Lepisosteus oculatus: one gene and its partner. The protein of the gene in region 1 purifies or fractionates together with the protein of each later gene. This does not show direct contact. Links are inferred from orthologs where the notes say so. Each region holds a gene or a part of one and is shown on either strand. Other genes may lie near its edges.

Region 1 (7,699 bases):
CATGGAAAGGTGCTTTATTTCCCGACGAGCTCTGGTAGTACGTAACCCCCATCCCTGTGTGAAATCCTCCTAGGAGGAGCTCACTGATCTCCTAAAGGCCCGGAAACAGGGGACGACATCGGAGGGCCTCCCCAGGAAGTGGCACTGCTGTTGTGCGTCACGAGAGACAGCGCGATCCATCGGGAAGTGACGTCTCCCTGCCAAAGTGTCCGCCCCTCCGTGGAGCAGACCGGGTCGGAGCTGTTTCCCTGGTTCCCCTCTGGAGAGGGGATTCACAGCTTGGAAAAATCACCCCGATACTGACCCCCGGCACTGAAGGAGAGGCCAGCGGGAGGGTGGTCAGTCACGCTGACCCTGCGTGTGTCCTTGCCGGGCCCCTGCAGGAGCGGACAGGCAGCTGGTGTCCGGTCAGTGGCCACAGAGTGACCGGCAGGCCCCTTCCTGCTCCGAGACGCTGTGCTGAGCTGTACTGCGGCTGAGACGCACCGTGACCGAGCCCAGAGGGGGGTGGGGGTGGGAGTGGGAGTGGGGGTTGGGGGGGATTGTACATCTGTGGGAGTGAGAGGGGTGCTCGTTAATAGCATCGTCTGTGTGTGCGGGCGCGTGGCTGCGGGTGTGTGTGTGTGAGGGTGTATCAGTGCCTGTGTGTGTGAGTGAGATTAAGAGGCTCAGCTCTGTGTTTGAAATGAAAGCTTGTGCAGAAAAGAGTTTCTACCTGAGAGTCTCAACACAATGGCATTAACTTCCACAATAAATCTTGTGGAAAGATGAGGATATTTATAGGCTTCCACAGAGCTATAAAAATCCTTCTTGGCTTTTGTTCCTCAATGAAAGATATGTACTTTTAAAACACGCTTATATACGGTGTCAGTATGATCTGTATGCAATTCTCTAGTGCTGTGGTGCTTGTTTGCACTGTCAGGATTTTATACGGTGGTTATATAAAGCATCAGGGTCTCTATAGGGCTTGTATCCACTATCAGGGTCTCTATAGGGCTTGTCTACAGTCTCAGGGTCTCTACAGGGCTTGTCTACAGTCTCGGGGACTCTATGGAGCTTGTATACACTCTCGGGGTCTCTACAGTTCTTGTATACAGTCGCGGGGTCTCTACAGTTCTTGTATACAGTCTCGGGGTCTCTATAGGGCTTGTCTACAGTCTCGGGGTCTCTATAGGGCTTGTCTACAGTGTCTGTATTCTCACTAGAAGTTCCTTTAAAGCTAAGCATCATCTGAGTGATCCTTAGAATGAAAGAGCTTCTAGAGGAAGATCAGAACCAACAGCAGTCCAGCTGGGCCCGTTCAGCCCGGTCCGCACGTTTCTCGACGGTCCCGGGACACTCCGCCCCAGCGCCGAGTTCTCCCAGGTTCTTCCAACGCCCAGCGACCTCCGGTGCGAAGCATCAGTGTCCCGCGGGCTCCGTGTCCACCCTGGGCTTCAGACCACGGCTCCAGCGGATCCCGGGATCGCTGGCATCGGGATCAGATCCCCCGGGACGCCCCTCTCTTCCCGATCCACCGGCCAGCGCTGGCCCCTGCCCTTTCATACGGCACGTCCATCAAAAGGTCGCCACAGCTCAGCTGATAATAACACAGATTAGGGCCTATAAATAGGCAGCACACTGGGCACCGCGGACCAGCGCAGGAGTGAGTCAGCGAAAGAGCCTCGTCCGTCTGCCGAGCCAGGGGGAGAGAGCCCTGGGTCGCACCCCTGTCCCGGAGAGCCTGACCCGCCGGGACAGCACCAGTCCCGCCCACGCCGGGCTCAGGGGTGCCCCCGGACTTCCTACACGGTGGCGTCCAGGGGCCCTGAGAAAGACACCTGACACAGCGCCGTTACACTCTCGGCTGGCGTGTCAGGGAGACCAGAGATCACTGGAGATCACAGGAGATCACTGGAGATCACTGGAGATCACTGGAGACTTGTGATCTCTGTAGCCCTCCAACCTTTACCCCTCCCACTCCAGTATGAAGAGCTAGCGTCACACTCCGCACGACAGGACAGAGCAGATAAGCGACACTTCTCTCGCTGGATGAAAGTCCGGGAACTTATCTCTTCCAAGTCTAAAGGACAGAAGGCCCGTGCAGCTGATCGACCTGACCTTCCAGGTGGCTCTAAACCGCTGATTAAGCGTGACCTATAAACCGCGCGGGGCCGCGGCTCTCCTGGGCCTGGCGGGGCCGTGCAGCAGATCTGGGGAAGAGCACATTCAATAGTCTATATTTAGCGTGAGCGAGCTCGCACACACCAACTGCACATCTGAACACCAGCCAACTCAGTCCAGCGGAGCTGGGAACCGTCTCCCCCTCTCTCTCTCTCCCACCCCCCTCCTCGTCTCTTTCTCCTCCTGTTTCTCATCTGGACAAATACACACCCACCTCGGGGTTTTTTTTTTGCTGCTGACAGGGTTTAAAAATAAAATTGCGGCAGCTATAATTTAGACACCAGCGAGCAAAGTGGTTTCCATAGAAACCCGGGACCCACCACACTGCCTGAACGTCCCGGAGCCGCGGGCGGGGGCCGGGGGCGCGGGGTGGGACGGGGGCAGCCCGGGCCCCTGGCCTGGCCGGTGTGCTGTCCCGAGCCGACACACGGCAAGTCCCGGCTCGGGATCGTCAGACTGCGGCGGGGTTGATGGGAAAAGTTTGCTCCATGCCTAATTAGCTCGACTGTCTGAACTGGAGTGACTTTGAGATGCTTTGGCATAAGCATCCTTTACACAAAGGGTGGTGAGAGTGGGGAACAAGACAGTATTTTCAAACCCAGAGACCTGGCGTCTTTCTTCGGTCGTGGTCACGTCACGTGACACCTGCCCCTCCAGAAGACGCGCTGTCCTCTTTCGAGGGGAAACGGGAAAGGGGTCCCCCACAGGCCCAGGTCACAGGACCGCAGGACAACAGGTTAGGGTGACCTCGGAGAGCAGGGCTGGCCTGGGCGATCCGGAAGGCCCGCCGATCGGCGAATACAGGTGGAGACTAGTCCCGGTTCCGGTCCCGCCCGCTAAAAATAAGACGCACACCGCTGCAGCCCAGAGCAGCTGGCGCTGGTGGGGGCTAACAGTCACCAGGAGCCGCTGAGCAGGGGATCTGAGAGGGCCCCCCCAGGAGGAGGAGGGGGGGCCCGGCCTCCGGGGGGCTGAGACAGGGCGAGCAGCTGACTTCTCGCCCGGATTTGGAAGCATTCCTCTGCCGGACGGGAATCCTGACAGCGTGTGCTTCCCTTGCCTCCCGATCGGTTAAGCCTGCTGCTGGGTCCATCATCCAGCCATTTTCTGAGCACGTCTGCCAGTTCAAGGGTCATGTGGGAGCTGGAGTCTATCCCAGCAAGCAACGGGCGCCAGGCGGGGTTCGCCCTGGACAGGACGCCAGTCCATCCCGGGACACAGCCCAGAGGAAACCCACGCAAACACTGGGAGAACATGCAAACTCCACACAGACAGCACCTCAGGTCCAGAACTGAACCCCGGGCCCCAGCACAGCGAGGCAGCAACACTGAGAGCTGCACCACTGTGCCTCCCCCAATCCCCTCACCCCCTCACCCTCTCATTCCCTCACCCCCTCACCTTCTCATCCCCCAATCCTCTCACCCCCTCACCCTCTCATCCCCTCACCTTCTCATCCCCCAATCCTCTCACCCCCTCACCTTCTCATCCCCCAATCCTCTCACCCCCTCACCTTCTCATCCCCTCACCCCCTCACCTTCTCATCCCCCAATCCTCTCACCCTCTCACCCCCTCACCCCCTCACCTTCTCATCCCCCAATCCTCTCACCCCCTTACCTTCTCATCCCCCAATCCTCTCACCCCTCACCCTCTCATCCCCTCACCCCCTCACCTTCTCATCCCCCAATCCTCTCACCCCCTCACCCTCTCATCCCCCAATCCTCTCACCCCCTCACCTTCTCATCCCCTCACCATTTCAGCCCCTCACCCTCTCACCTCTCACCCCCTCACCTTCTCATCCCCTCACCCTATCACCTTCTCACCCTCTCACCTCTCACCCCCTCACCTCACCCCTCACACTCTCACCCCCTCACCTCACCACCTCTCACCATACACAGGGACCCACAGTGCACAAATTAACAACACACACTGATACACAGCTCACACACTCACAGCACACCAGACACAGTACACAAACTAACAACACACACTGATGCACAGCACTGTCACACACTCACAGCACACTACACACAGTACACAAACTAACAACACACACTGATACACAGCACTGTCACACACTCACAGCACACCAGACACAGTACACAAACTAACAACACACACTGATGCACAGCACTGTCACACACTCACAAAACACTACACACAGTACACAAACTAACAACACACACTGATGCACTGTCACACACTCACAGCACACCACACACAGTACACAAACTAACAACACACACTGATGCGCTGTCACACACTCACAGCACACCACACACGGATGCACAGCACCGTCACACACTCGCAGCACGCGCCGCGCCGAGGACCCGTCCACGCCGTGAGCGCACGCGGGCTGCTGACGCCCAGACCCACACGGCTCGCTCTCCCCGCGCCGTCAGAGAGAGAGCGAGCGAGCGCGCGCGAGCCAGCCGCCGGGATTAACACAGGGAGCAGAGGAGCCGTCCGGACACGAAGGAAACCAGGTGGCTCGGGGACGGACCGGCGAGTTCAGAGACCGCACCGGCGGGGCGGCAGGAGGAAGCGCGGGTTCGGGGGGAAGAAGTTTTCCAGCCCTGTGGCGCTGCGAGGAGCGGGCGCGGGGAGGGTGCGCGGGGATACGACACCGCTCCGGGATATCTACTCCACGGGCAGTCCCCGCTCCACAGTTACAGGGACACGGAGGGGTCTGGGGCCGCTCCGGGAGCAGCGCGGCGCGGCGGCGGGACGTGGGATTTGGGATCGAGCGAGGGAGTCGCGTGGACCCCCCGCCCGGGCCCGCGGGAGGAGTGGGCTCCCCACGAGACGGTCCCCCCCACGGAGGAAGGTAAGCGCCTTACCCGCCGGCTCCAGACTGCCTCTCTAACTTCCACACGCCGCGAGCAGGGTTGGGGTGCCGGGGGGTCTGGGCTCACGAGCCGACGCTACAGCCATAAGCTTATTAAGGCGTTTGCATAAGAACCCCCAATAACAACAACAACAACAACAACAACAACTTCTTTCTACACTGAGGGAAAGAGAACCGTTTCGTGCACAAGTGTTGGTATTATTATTATTATTATTATTATTATTATTATTATCGCAGAACTTCAGCGATTTGTCACAAAACGTCCTGTTCCGCCTGGGAGACGGGCCGGGTGTTCGTTGGGAACAGTGCGGTGAGCCCGTGCGGAGGATGGATATCGGAACCGCGTAGTTCGGTTTCCTCAGCCGCTCGGGGGGCTCGCCACTCTCCTCTCCACGGGCGCGAGGAGAGCGCAGCTGCGTGGAGCCCACGCGCGCAGAATCCCCCCCCTCCCCTCCCACGAGAGCCCGCGACGCCGGTGGCGGTTCGGCTTGGCTTCGGTGGGCGTCTCAGAGAGCGGGTCCCGAGCGGTGTCAGACCAGACCGGACCGGTCTGGACCGGACCCGCGCCCCCGCGCGCGCCGGGTGCTCACCTGTTGTTTCCCCGTCACGGAAAGACACCTGCGTGCTTCCCTGCGTGAGACCGGTCTCAAACCATCCCCCCCGCGTGGCATTGATTTCGTGTCGCGAAGAGTTTGAGGAACATGCTTCTAATGAGGCGTTATTTTTTATTTTTTTGTACAATGGAAGAGATTGCTACTCGCGGTCGTGCGTGTGTGTGGGGGGAGGCAAGTTGCTTTTCAATTTTGAAAGATGGTCGAGATTCTAAAACCCGTCTTTTATTTTTAAACAGATAGATTAAGATTCACACACAGATAAATCCAAACTCAGACACAGATAGATTCAGATTCACGCACAGGTGAATCCGGATTCACGCACAGAGTGCTGTATATTCGGATTTACACCTGAACACCTCCAGCAGCGACCCTCGCCCGGGAGACGCATTTGTATTCACCTGCTGGCCTTCTCGCGCCCCTCGGGGCCAGTTCCCCCAGTTCCCCCAGTAGCGCTGCTTTTCAGCTGCGTCGTGTCGCTGCGACACAAAACCCCAAACCAGACACTACCCGTTTCCCCGGGGCGCAGTTCTGGCCTCCTGGAGCGACTGCCCCCCGGGAGAAAATCTCCCCAAGCAGGAGAGGAGAGTCAGGGACCACCGGCCTGGCGCGCTACAGAGGCCCCCAGCCCCACGAGCGGAGAGTCGAGCTCTTCCTCCAACTTTCTTCTGAACGACACGGGGACACAAACCGCCATCGCTCCAGCGCGAAGAGCGCCGCTTTCGCAGGTCGGGCCGGAGAGCAGCACAGGCGTGTCGTGTGGCCCAACTTCACGCGGAATTCAGGATTTTGGCTCCGAACTGTTCCGGTTTCAGTGTTGCACAGACCCAGCCTGACGGCTCCGGCACCACTGACCGCGACAGCGACCGCGACAGCTGAACCGCGCGGCAGTTTCAGTTTCCTCCTGACATCGGCCTGTAGAGGAGGACAGGCAGGGTGTGATCGGGGAGGCGGTACCGTGCAGGTTCTGGTGCGGGTTCTGGTGGGCAGGACGCCTCGGTGGACAGGACGGGGAAGCGGGCAGAACCCCCGGCCACTCCGGCCGAGGGGGGGCGCGAACCGCAGGCAGAAGTTCGGCTCGGCGGCTCGTTCGCGCCGGGCCGGACCGGACCGGCGGACCCCGGGCTGGAGACGCGCGCGGGGCAGGAGCGGCGGCGGCGAGGGGGGGCGCGTTCACGGGGGCGCAGGCGGGCGCATGCATCGACCCGCACTGAGCCGGCCGAGCCCAGGCGCACACACGGGCTCGGAGGCGGACAGCGATGATGATGATGACCAGTAAACCTGGAGTCCTCATCAAGCGGTCCAGCGCTTGAACCCGCGGACGCCCGGTCGGTTTAAAGGGAACACTGCCTCTGGGGGACTCGCTGTCAGTGGGCGACAGCCCCCCTGTTTCCTGAAGGGCCGTGTGTTCTCACAGGCGGTATATGTCGGGCGGGAATCGACACTTTGAAAGCAGGTTTTCCTTCCGTTTCGAGTTGGGGTAGTCCGTGTGAACTGTTATTGCCGTGTGCGGGACATGTCCTGTTGCTCAAAGTAAAATCAAGTGTTTCAGGTCCAGTACAGGCCGAAAAAGACACCCAGTAAAGTTGCTCAGGAGAGAGGGAGTGGGTGGCAGCCCTGTTCCAGCACCTGGGGGCTTGCTAGCCTCCTGGTGTGATTGTTGAAGACGTGGTCAGCTGTGGAAGGCAGGTCGTGGAGGTTATTGCAGAGTATCAGCGCCAGAAGCAGGGAGCTGCTCTGCATACTTTGCACAGCAGCACAGCAGCACAGTGCTGAGGCGGCTTCAGGACCGTCCGCCTCCGGACAGCTCCCCTGCCAGCTTCAGCACTGCGCAGGCCAGGACACCTCCACACCACAGCGCCTCATACACACGAGACAGCACCAGATTCCAGCACAGCCCAGCGCTGGACAGCTCCTGACTGGGTCTCAGCAACGCCAGTGTGAGCAGACAGACAGACAGACAGACAGACAGACAGACAGACAGACAGACAGACAGCTCCTGACTGGGTCTCAGCCCCACCAGTGTGAGCAGACAGACAGACAGACAGCTCCTGACTGGGTCTCAGCCCCACCAGTGTGA
Region 2 (7,782 bases), on another chromosome or scaffold:
CATGCCGGACAGTGAGGACAAGGCCTTCAGCAGCTGCTACAGCGCAGGTGTGTGTGAGACACCTGTGTGTGCTTGTAAAACCCTGTGTGCATCTTTGTGAAATCTGTGCATGCGAGTGAGTGTGTGAAATCCTGTGTGTATGTTTGTGAAACCTATGAGTGTGTGTGTGTGTGAGAAACCAGTGTGTGTGTGAAATCCTGTGTGTGTCTTTGTGAAACCTGTGTGTATGAGTGGAGGAAATGAATGTGTGTGTGAAATCCTGTGTGTGTCTTTGTGAAACCTGTGTGTATGAGTGGAGGAAATGAATGTGTGTGTGAAATCCTGTGTGTGTCTTTGTGACACCTGTGTACTGTAGGTGAGTGAGTGGGGGAAATGTGTGTGTAGATTCCATTGCATGCAGGTTAGAAGAAAAGGGCAGAATGGTGCCAGCAGATCGTCCCCCAGGGGCCTTGTTCCTGCGGAAGGATGGACAGTATAAACATGAGAGTGTAACACTGGACTGGAGAGAAACCAGCTAGACCACATTCAGAAGATGGTTTTGGGAGCTGTGTTAAAGAAAGGACATTGTGTCTCAGTGGGTGATTTATTCTGTGTCTGGAGCTTCAGGTCTCTGACACAGTCAGGTGTTCAGGTGTCAGTCAGTGTCTGCCTCTCAGTGTGTCTGACTGTGATTCAGTGTGTCTTAGTGTGTGAGGTATTCAGTGCCTGGAGTCCTGAAGCTCTCTGACTGTGTCAGTCAGTGTCTGCCTCTGTGTCTGCCTCTGTGTGTCTTAGTGTGTGAGGTATTCAGTCTCTGGAGTCCTGAAGCTCTCTGACTGTGCCTGTCTGTGTCTCGCTCTGTCAGGTGTTTTCTACCTGGAGTCGGGGTCGGTCGTGGAGCTCTCTGTGCTGCGCAAGGATGCCAGACTCAAACTGGAGCCCTACTACACCTATCTGGGCCTATATCGGATCTGACTGGACCCACTGAGTACTGGAAAGGCACACTGACACAGTCAGGGCATGAGACGCGCTTAGGGATGACTGAGGGACCCTCACTGACATGCTGACACACCGAGAGAGGACTGAGACTCACTGAGGGACCCTCACACACTGAAACATGCTGACACACTGAGGGACTGAGAGACCCTCACTGACACACTGAAACACACTGACACACTGAGGGACTGAGACACAGTGAGACACTCAGAGACTGAGACACACTGAGGAAATGAGAGACCCTCACTGACACACTGAGACACACTGGCACACTGAGGGACTGAGATACACTGACACTCGCTGACACACTTCAAAAGTTGAGCTTCTACAGCATGGCTGGCAGCTTGTTCCAGACCCCCACCACTCTCTGTGTAAAAAAACACATCCTGGTCCTACACAGCACCTGCTTGCTCAGCTCAAAGCTAATTCATCTGTAGTGATTTAGCAGGTGAGAAAGACAGACAGCAACGGGCTTATTGTAGTTTTATTCACAAGAAATTTAATTTAATGTGTTTTGTCAATATATATTTTAAATAAAATATTTAAATTAAAAGTGCTGTCTGGTATGACTGAAATGTTCCAGCAATATTTAACACACACTAGCTAGAGGGTTGTCATTTCACATGGGAGAACAACAGGACATCAGCATTATCACACAGGATCTGATGTCGGGTGCCCTTATTGGCCTGATGCAGACGCTCACATGGACAAAGCCCAAGTGGGTATGAAAAGGGTTATGAGATGGATTTCGCCAAGAACGGAATTGTTGCCATTATTGTTTATTGTGACATCTAGTGGCTGATCCGCTGTTTTACAGTTACAAGGTGAAGACGGTATATCCCCATCCAAATTTCTTTTCCCAGCCGCTTCTTCCAATTCGGGGTCTCAGGGGAGCAGGAGTCTATTCTGGCAAGCAGTGGGCTCAAGGCAGGGTACACCCTGGATGGGACGCCGATCCATCGCAGGGCACACGCAGACACACTTCCACTAGAGCCAGTTTTCCCAGAACCCAGTTAAGCTTCCAGTCTGTCTTGGACTATGGGAAGAAACTGGAGCACCCAGAGAAAAAACCTGTGTGAACACAGGGAGAACATACAGACTCCGTGCAGGCTATATATCCTATCCCTTTTAACTACAGCTGGGAAACAAACTATTGTAAAAATACAATTTCAACACTGTCAGTCTTACTTGGGGTGCCGTGGCATTGAAGGTGTTATATAAATTGATAAGCATTTAAAGTTTCATTATTGTGGGGAATTGAGTGTGTATTACTGTCTCAGTGTGGGCCTGTATTAGTATCGTGCTGAGAAAATGCTCCCAAAGAGACAGCAGCTCCTGGCACACAGACGATGCTGGGGCGTCTTTACAGCGGAAGTGACTTTCTTACAAACCAGACGGCATCTTCTTTTAAATCTGAGCTCCTGAAAATACTGTCCCTCTGGTGTGGAGTTCCATTGGAGTGTGAAGGGTCAGTAACAGAGAGGAGCACACGTGTGTGTGGAGTGTGAAGGGTCAGTAACAGACAGGAGCACATGTGTGTGTGTGTGGAGTGTGAAGGGTCAGTAACAGACAGGAGCGTGTGTGTGTGTGGAGTGTGAAGGGTCAGTAACAGACAGGAGCGTGTGTGTGTGTGGAGTGTGAAGGGTCAGTAACAGACAGGAGCGTGTGTGTGTGTGGAGTGTGAAGGGTCAGTAACAGATAGGAGCACACGTGTGTGTGTGTGTGGAGTGTGAAGGGTCAGTAACAGATGTACACTTGTGTGCTGTGGGTATCAGTGAGCCGTTACGTGGCTCAGTCAGCCATGTTTGTACATGTGCTCAGTGATGACTTGGCCGTGTCTTGGAAGCAGCTGGTCGTGAGAGGTTTTCCTCCCTTCCATTCTCTCGGCCCCACTGCGCCGGCTTGCATTCCTGACCAGCCCCAGCTGCTGAAGGGCTAGGCTCCCTCACAGCCCTCAGACAGGCTACACACGAGGAGCTGCGTCCCAGCCATTCCAGCCAGACTGCCAGGACTCATCGCCCAGCCTGAAACACCCCAGAGAATGTTTTTAACACAGCCTGGCAACTTGATCCAGACACCCCCCACTCTTTGTGTAAACCGCTGCCTCCTGTCCTCAGTCCTGAATGAACTGTTCACACTTGTGTTCACTGGTAGATCCAGCGGACGACTTCAGGTCCAACTATCAAATCCAGGACTTAGAAGGCCTTTGACCACTTGTATTTTTTTTTCTGTTCACAACTAAAGGGACTATGTCCCTTTAAGATCATCCATGCGTTTTCCAATTCAGGATCGTGGGGGAGCCGGAGCCTATCCCGGGAAGCAATGGGCGCAAGGCGGGGTATACCCTGGACGGGACACAAGTCTTTAAGAGCAGGAATAATAAACCTTTTTCTTACCTCAACAGCTGTGTTTTTAATTCTGTCTGTCATGTTGCGCTGTAATCGTAATGTAAACGATTAAATGTAAACAGCTTCTTTTATTTTTCCGAACAACGGACACGCACATCTCAGCTCAGCTTCAAAACTAACTACGGCAAGTCGCCATGGACATACATGACGCTATCTTACAGCATAGTCAAGTCAATAATTCAGTCAAGGCAATGTTTCAGTTCTATAGCGCAGTTTTATTGAGGGCAGCCAGTCCAGCGGCCAGCAGGGGGCAGTGCAGCTGAGCTGGCAGCTCCTGCCAGAAGTGCTCCAGCTGTTTCAATGGTGCTTCCTGGTCCTCCTCCTCCTCCTCCTCTGGCGCTTCACACTGGACCTCCTGACTCGCCTCCTCCTGCGCACTGGACGGGACGCTCGTCTATGCCTCTTGGCCATGTCTGCGGTCTGTCCGGAAGGCGGCACTGTGCCCTTTTTAAAGCCTCCGGGGAAAAGCGGGCACCCCCCCCTAGTCGTCATCTACGTCACAGCTTGTAGTTATGACGCGTGGATGACATCATATCCCTGTTTAACAAAACAGTCTGTCGGGCCCCAGCAAAGAGTGCGGTTTCCCCCTGCTTTCATCACTCAGCGCCAGCCCAGTGAAAGCACCAAAACAAAATAAAACCAGTTTTATTTCAAGTGGTGTTTCAAGCAGTTAAACTCAACATTATGTTTTGGAAACTTAAAATATTTGTTTAAGAGCCGTTTTAAAGGGTTAAATCGAAAGCTATAATTATTATTTGTATTGGGACACACTGTTTTCAATAAATACATTTATTTATGCAGTCGTTTATAAACACACGGTCCGGAGAATATTACCCAAGTGAACTACAGCACCACTCTCGTCCACGTCAGTATTAAGCGGCACCGTAAATCTGGTCTTGTATAGCATGCTTTCATTCTGTAATACGGCATGCAAAAAGTTTAATCATGAGGTTATTTTATAGCTTAAGTAGTATCCTTTAACGCAAGTATTCCTTTCGACTAAATACGGTCTTAATAAAACAATATCGTGGTCGAGAGCAGGAGCCAGAACTGCATTTCCCAGAAGTCCCCCGTGGGATTTCTAAAGAGGGTTAGAAGCAGTTGCTCCGGAGGGACGGGGGGATTAAGGGACAGGAGAAAGTCGAGAGGGAGGGAGTAAGAGAGAGGGAGAATGCCGCTGAGGAAACAGGGTGAGTGTCGGAGCCGGTCTCGGCCTCAGTCCCGGTTCGTCTCCGTTACAGGTCGGGTAGGGGGTTCGGTACCCAGAGTTCCCGCCCAAACGCCCTTCTCGAGCGAGAAACCCGGGTCTGCGTGCGTGTCTAGAGCGCGCGCCGTCTGCGAGTCGGCGCTTCAGGGCCCCACGGCTCCGTGGGACACAGACCCAGAACTTTCCGTGACGAGACAGGAGACTTTTGTGTGGAGGTGTGTTTTTGAGTGTTTAACCGACAGAAGTCGTGTGAAGGAGAGCGGCCGGAGCCCGGAGTCACCTGTCCGCCGGCTGTCCGCTGAAACCCGTCACTGCCTTTCGAGGAATGACATTTAAAACCGCGAACAGGCAGCACTTCTTTACAGAAAGGGTTGTGGGGGCATGGAACAAGCAGTCCAGACAAGTTGAAGCCGATAACCTGGCTTCTTTCAAAGTACAGCATTTAAAACTGCAAACAGGAGGCACTTCTTTACACAAAGAGTGGTGGGAGTGTGGGATTAGCTGCCCAAGCACACTGAGGCTGATAACACCGCCTTCTTTCCAAGAATTGCATTTGAAATTGAGAATTGGTGGGGGAGATACATCTTTACCCAAGAGGGTGGGAGTGTTGAACAAGTGTTGTTGAGCTAGTTCAAGAAGTGGCTGGGTGATGCGATCCTGGGACCAGCTAGCTACTATCTGCCAAACAGGCTTAACAGGCAGTGGTTTACCAGACAGAATAAAAGTCACCAGAAGGAAGAGAAATTCAGAAACTGTCCCAATTATTATTTTCATGGCAGGGTGGGCCATATTTAAAAAAAAAGAAGAAATGACCCGTTCAACTAAACTGTTTCACTTTAACAGACGGTAGTGGAGTAGAGAGTGGAAGTCCTGATCTTTTTAACCGTTTCAAAGTAGATTGATAACTGGTTTCAGGTGGACAAAGAAGACCCCGAGACACTGTTATTTATGTGTACTGTAAGAAGGCAGTCCTTGCCTGCCCAGAGAGGGGCGAACGGCTCTCTTACAGCACGCAGCGATGTCCTCCCCAGGTGTCCACCTCTCTCCCAGTAGCTCTCACTTCTATAACCGCCTGCCTGTCCGTCTCTGTCCTCCCGGCCCAGACACGGAGAAAGCCCTGCGCTTGATGGAGGAGTGTCAGTCGGAGACCGGCGACGAGGGGTTCCGGGCTCGGGCCGAGAAGCTCCTGAACATCTTCCAGAGCGACCTCTTCCAGGCCCTGCTGGGTGAGGCTGCAGGTTGGGTTAGGCTACAGGCTGTGTTTCGATGGGAGGTTCCCGTTTCGAACCCCACCTCCTCCTCCTCCCACCCCCCACAGAGCTGTGCCCCCGTCTCCCTGATGGAGCTTCTGTGGGCAAGCTGTGGATATCCTGTCCAGCACCTGTTGTGCCCCAGGTAACTGTCCAGTTGGCCCCCCTGCCCTACGAATCAACAGCCCAGGCTGATGCAAGCGGACAGGTGCCCAGAAAGACGCAGGCTGGCGCTGTTGCACGGCCGAAAGGACGCCCAGGCCTGTTTAAGGCCACCCAACCCTGAAGGCCCCAAGCCAACTGTACCCACTTTTGGGGGAACACCAGTCACAGTGGGGCGAATGAGGGCCCAGAGCAGAACCAGCACTGTCTGGACTGTAGGGGCTCAGCCTGCTCCCTGATCGAGCGCCTTCACTGGCTGAGCCCCATCAGGAGCCCCCAGGCTGGGCTGTTTCTAAGAGATTTTGGAAACCTTCTGGACGTGGGCCTCCTCGGGAGCACAGACACGGGGCCTCTTCGTTGTACAGCCCTAGGTGCAACTCCACTCTGCCCCCTGCAGCCTGACCAGAGGAACAGTATGAACACAGGGGGCGAGGATGAGACACAGGGGCCTTAACTGTCTGGGGTCTGTAAAACTGTACAGGAGGGGGGTCCCCTCTACCTCTGTGTCTTCCCCTGTCGCCCCTCTCTCGCTTTCCACCCCCCTCTTTCAGATCTCACACTCCGTCTCTCCCAGCCTCTCTCTCTCCCTCTGCCTATCTGTCTATATTTAGTGGGGATGTAATCTGCTGGTTTAGCTGAGGCGGAGGGATTAGAGCTGAGAGGCTCTTGCAGCACTGCCCGATTAAGAGCAGATCATCCAGGAAGCTTGTCACGGAGGCACGGCAGGCAGGCCGAGAGAGAGACGGGAGGAATGAGGCTGAGAGCTGCTGTTTTCTGCTCTGCACCCACTGTGTGGATGGGGCGCTTGGGCTGTGGGATGAATCACAGACATACAGTACTCAGACAGCCAGCAGGTCAGGCAGGCTGGCTGATCCCTGACTGACAGACTGCCCGCTCTGCAAAACCTGGGGTGGATTCGACAGCAGTGCGGCGGGGGTCTCTGTTCCTCGGTGGCTCCCTCTGTCTCTCTTCCTGCCCCTCACACTCTCCCAATCTCCCTGCCTTCTCTCGCTCACTCCCCTCTCTCTGGTTCTCTCTCCCCAGATATCCAGGAGTTCTATGAAGTGACTGTGTGTGAGAGTCGGCTGGTGGGTCGACCTCGGACTCCTGTGCTGGTAGGACTTGGGTTTTACAGCTCCACAGGGATGTGTGTGTGTGTGTGTGCGCTGGGGAAAACACTATCCCAGACTGCCCAATGGTTCTTTCATCCTGAAGTGCCTTTCTGCCCTGCAGTTTCACACCTCTTCCACTAGAGGACAGGAGATGTCCACAGCTGGCACAGTGTCTCGGGCACTGGTTCCCAGCCCCAGCAACTGCAGGAGCACTGTGTCTGCTGGTCTTCACTCTGTCTGCGCTCTTTGATCTGCTTGATCAGTTTAGACTTTATTTTACCGGTTTCTTCAGCCAGTCCCGATTGTGAAAAATACACAACTTCCGGTTTCCAGCACATCCCGCACTGAGATCTTCACACAGCCTCTACTTGCCATGGTTACCGGTTGGTCATTTGATGATGAGCAGACACACGTGGGAGTGACAGTGTATCAGAAGTGCACACGATGAAAAATATAAATAGAAAGTGTCCTACGTGTGCAGGGTAAAGGAAATACAGTAAGTCTCTTTAGCTCCACGCAGAGGGCGGTAGGTGGGGACATGAGACAAGATACCGCAGGGTTCAAGACAAACTCAGCTCTGTAGACGTAGGGTGAACTGTGAAGCAAGGGGCCCAGCTGCACTGTTGAAGCCGGCTCTGTGGGATCCTTCGAGAAGTGGTTAGGTAATG

What was found.
Region 2: the proteins of ATP-sensitive inward rectifier potassium channel 12 (region 1) and disks large homolog 4-like purify together in Homo sapiens (affinity purification with western blotting, with the first as the bait; 3 studies listed by BioGRID). This does not show direct contact. The link is inferred for Lepisosteus oculatus from reciprocal best matches to the Homo sapiens genes KCNJ4 and DLG4.

Annotation. Positions count from the first base shown.
Region 1 is NC_090707.1:38,762,693-38,770,391, reverse strand, and holds the start of ATP-sensitive inward rectifier potassium channel 12, read left to right. Parts: upstream 1-4,323; 5' UTR 4,324-4,987; intron 4,988-7,699. UniProt on the Homo sapiens protein: Inward rectifier potassium channels are characterized by a greater tendency to allow potassium to flow into the cell rather than out of it.
Region 2 is NC_090698.1:10,878,241-10,886,022, reverse strand, and holds the start of disks large homolog 4-like, read left to right. Parts: upstream 1-4,291; 5' UTR 4,292-4,554; coding exon 4,555-4,573; exon of another isoform or gene 4,574-4,805; intron 4,806-5,693; coding exon 5,694-5,816; intron 5,817-7,046; coding exon 7,047-7,117; intron 7,118-7,782. Other genes in the region: tnfsf13 (tumor necrosis factor ligand superfamily member 13), read left to right, coding at 1-47, 845-954. UniProt on the Homo sapiens protein: Postsynaptic scaffolding protein that plays a critical role in synaptogenesis and synaptic plasticity by providing a platform for the postsynaptic clustering of crucial synaptic proteins.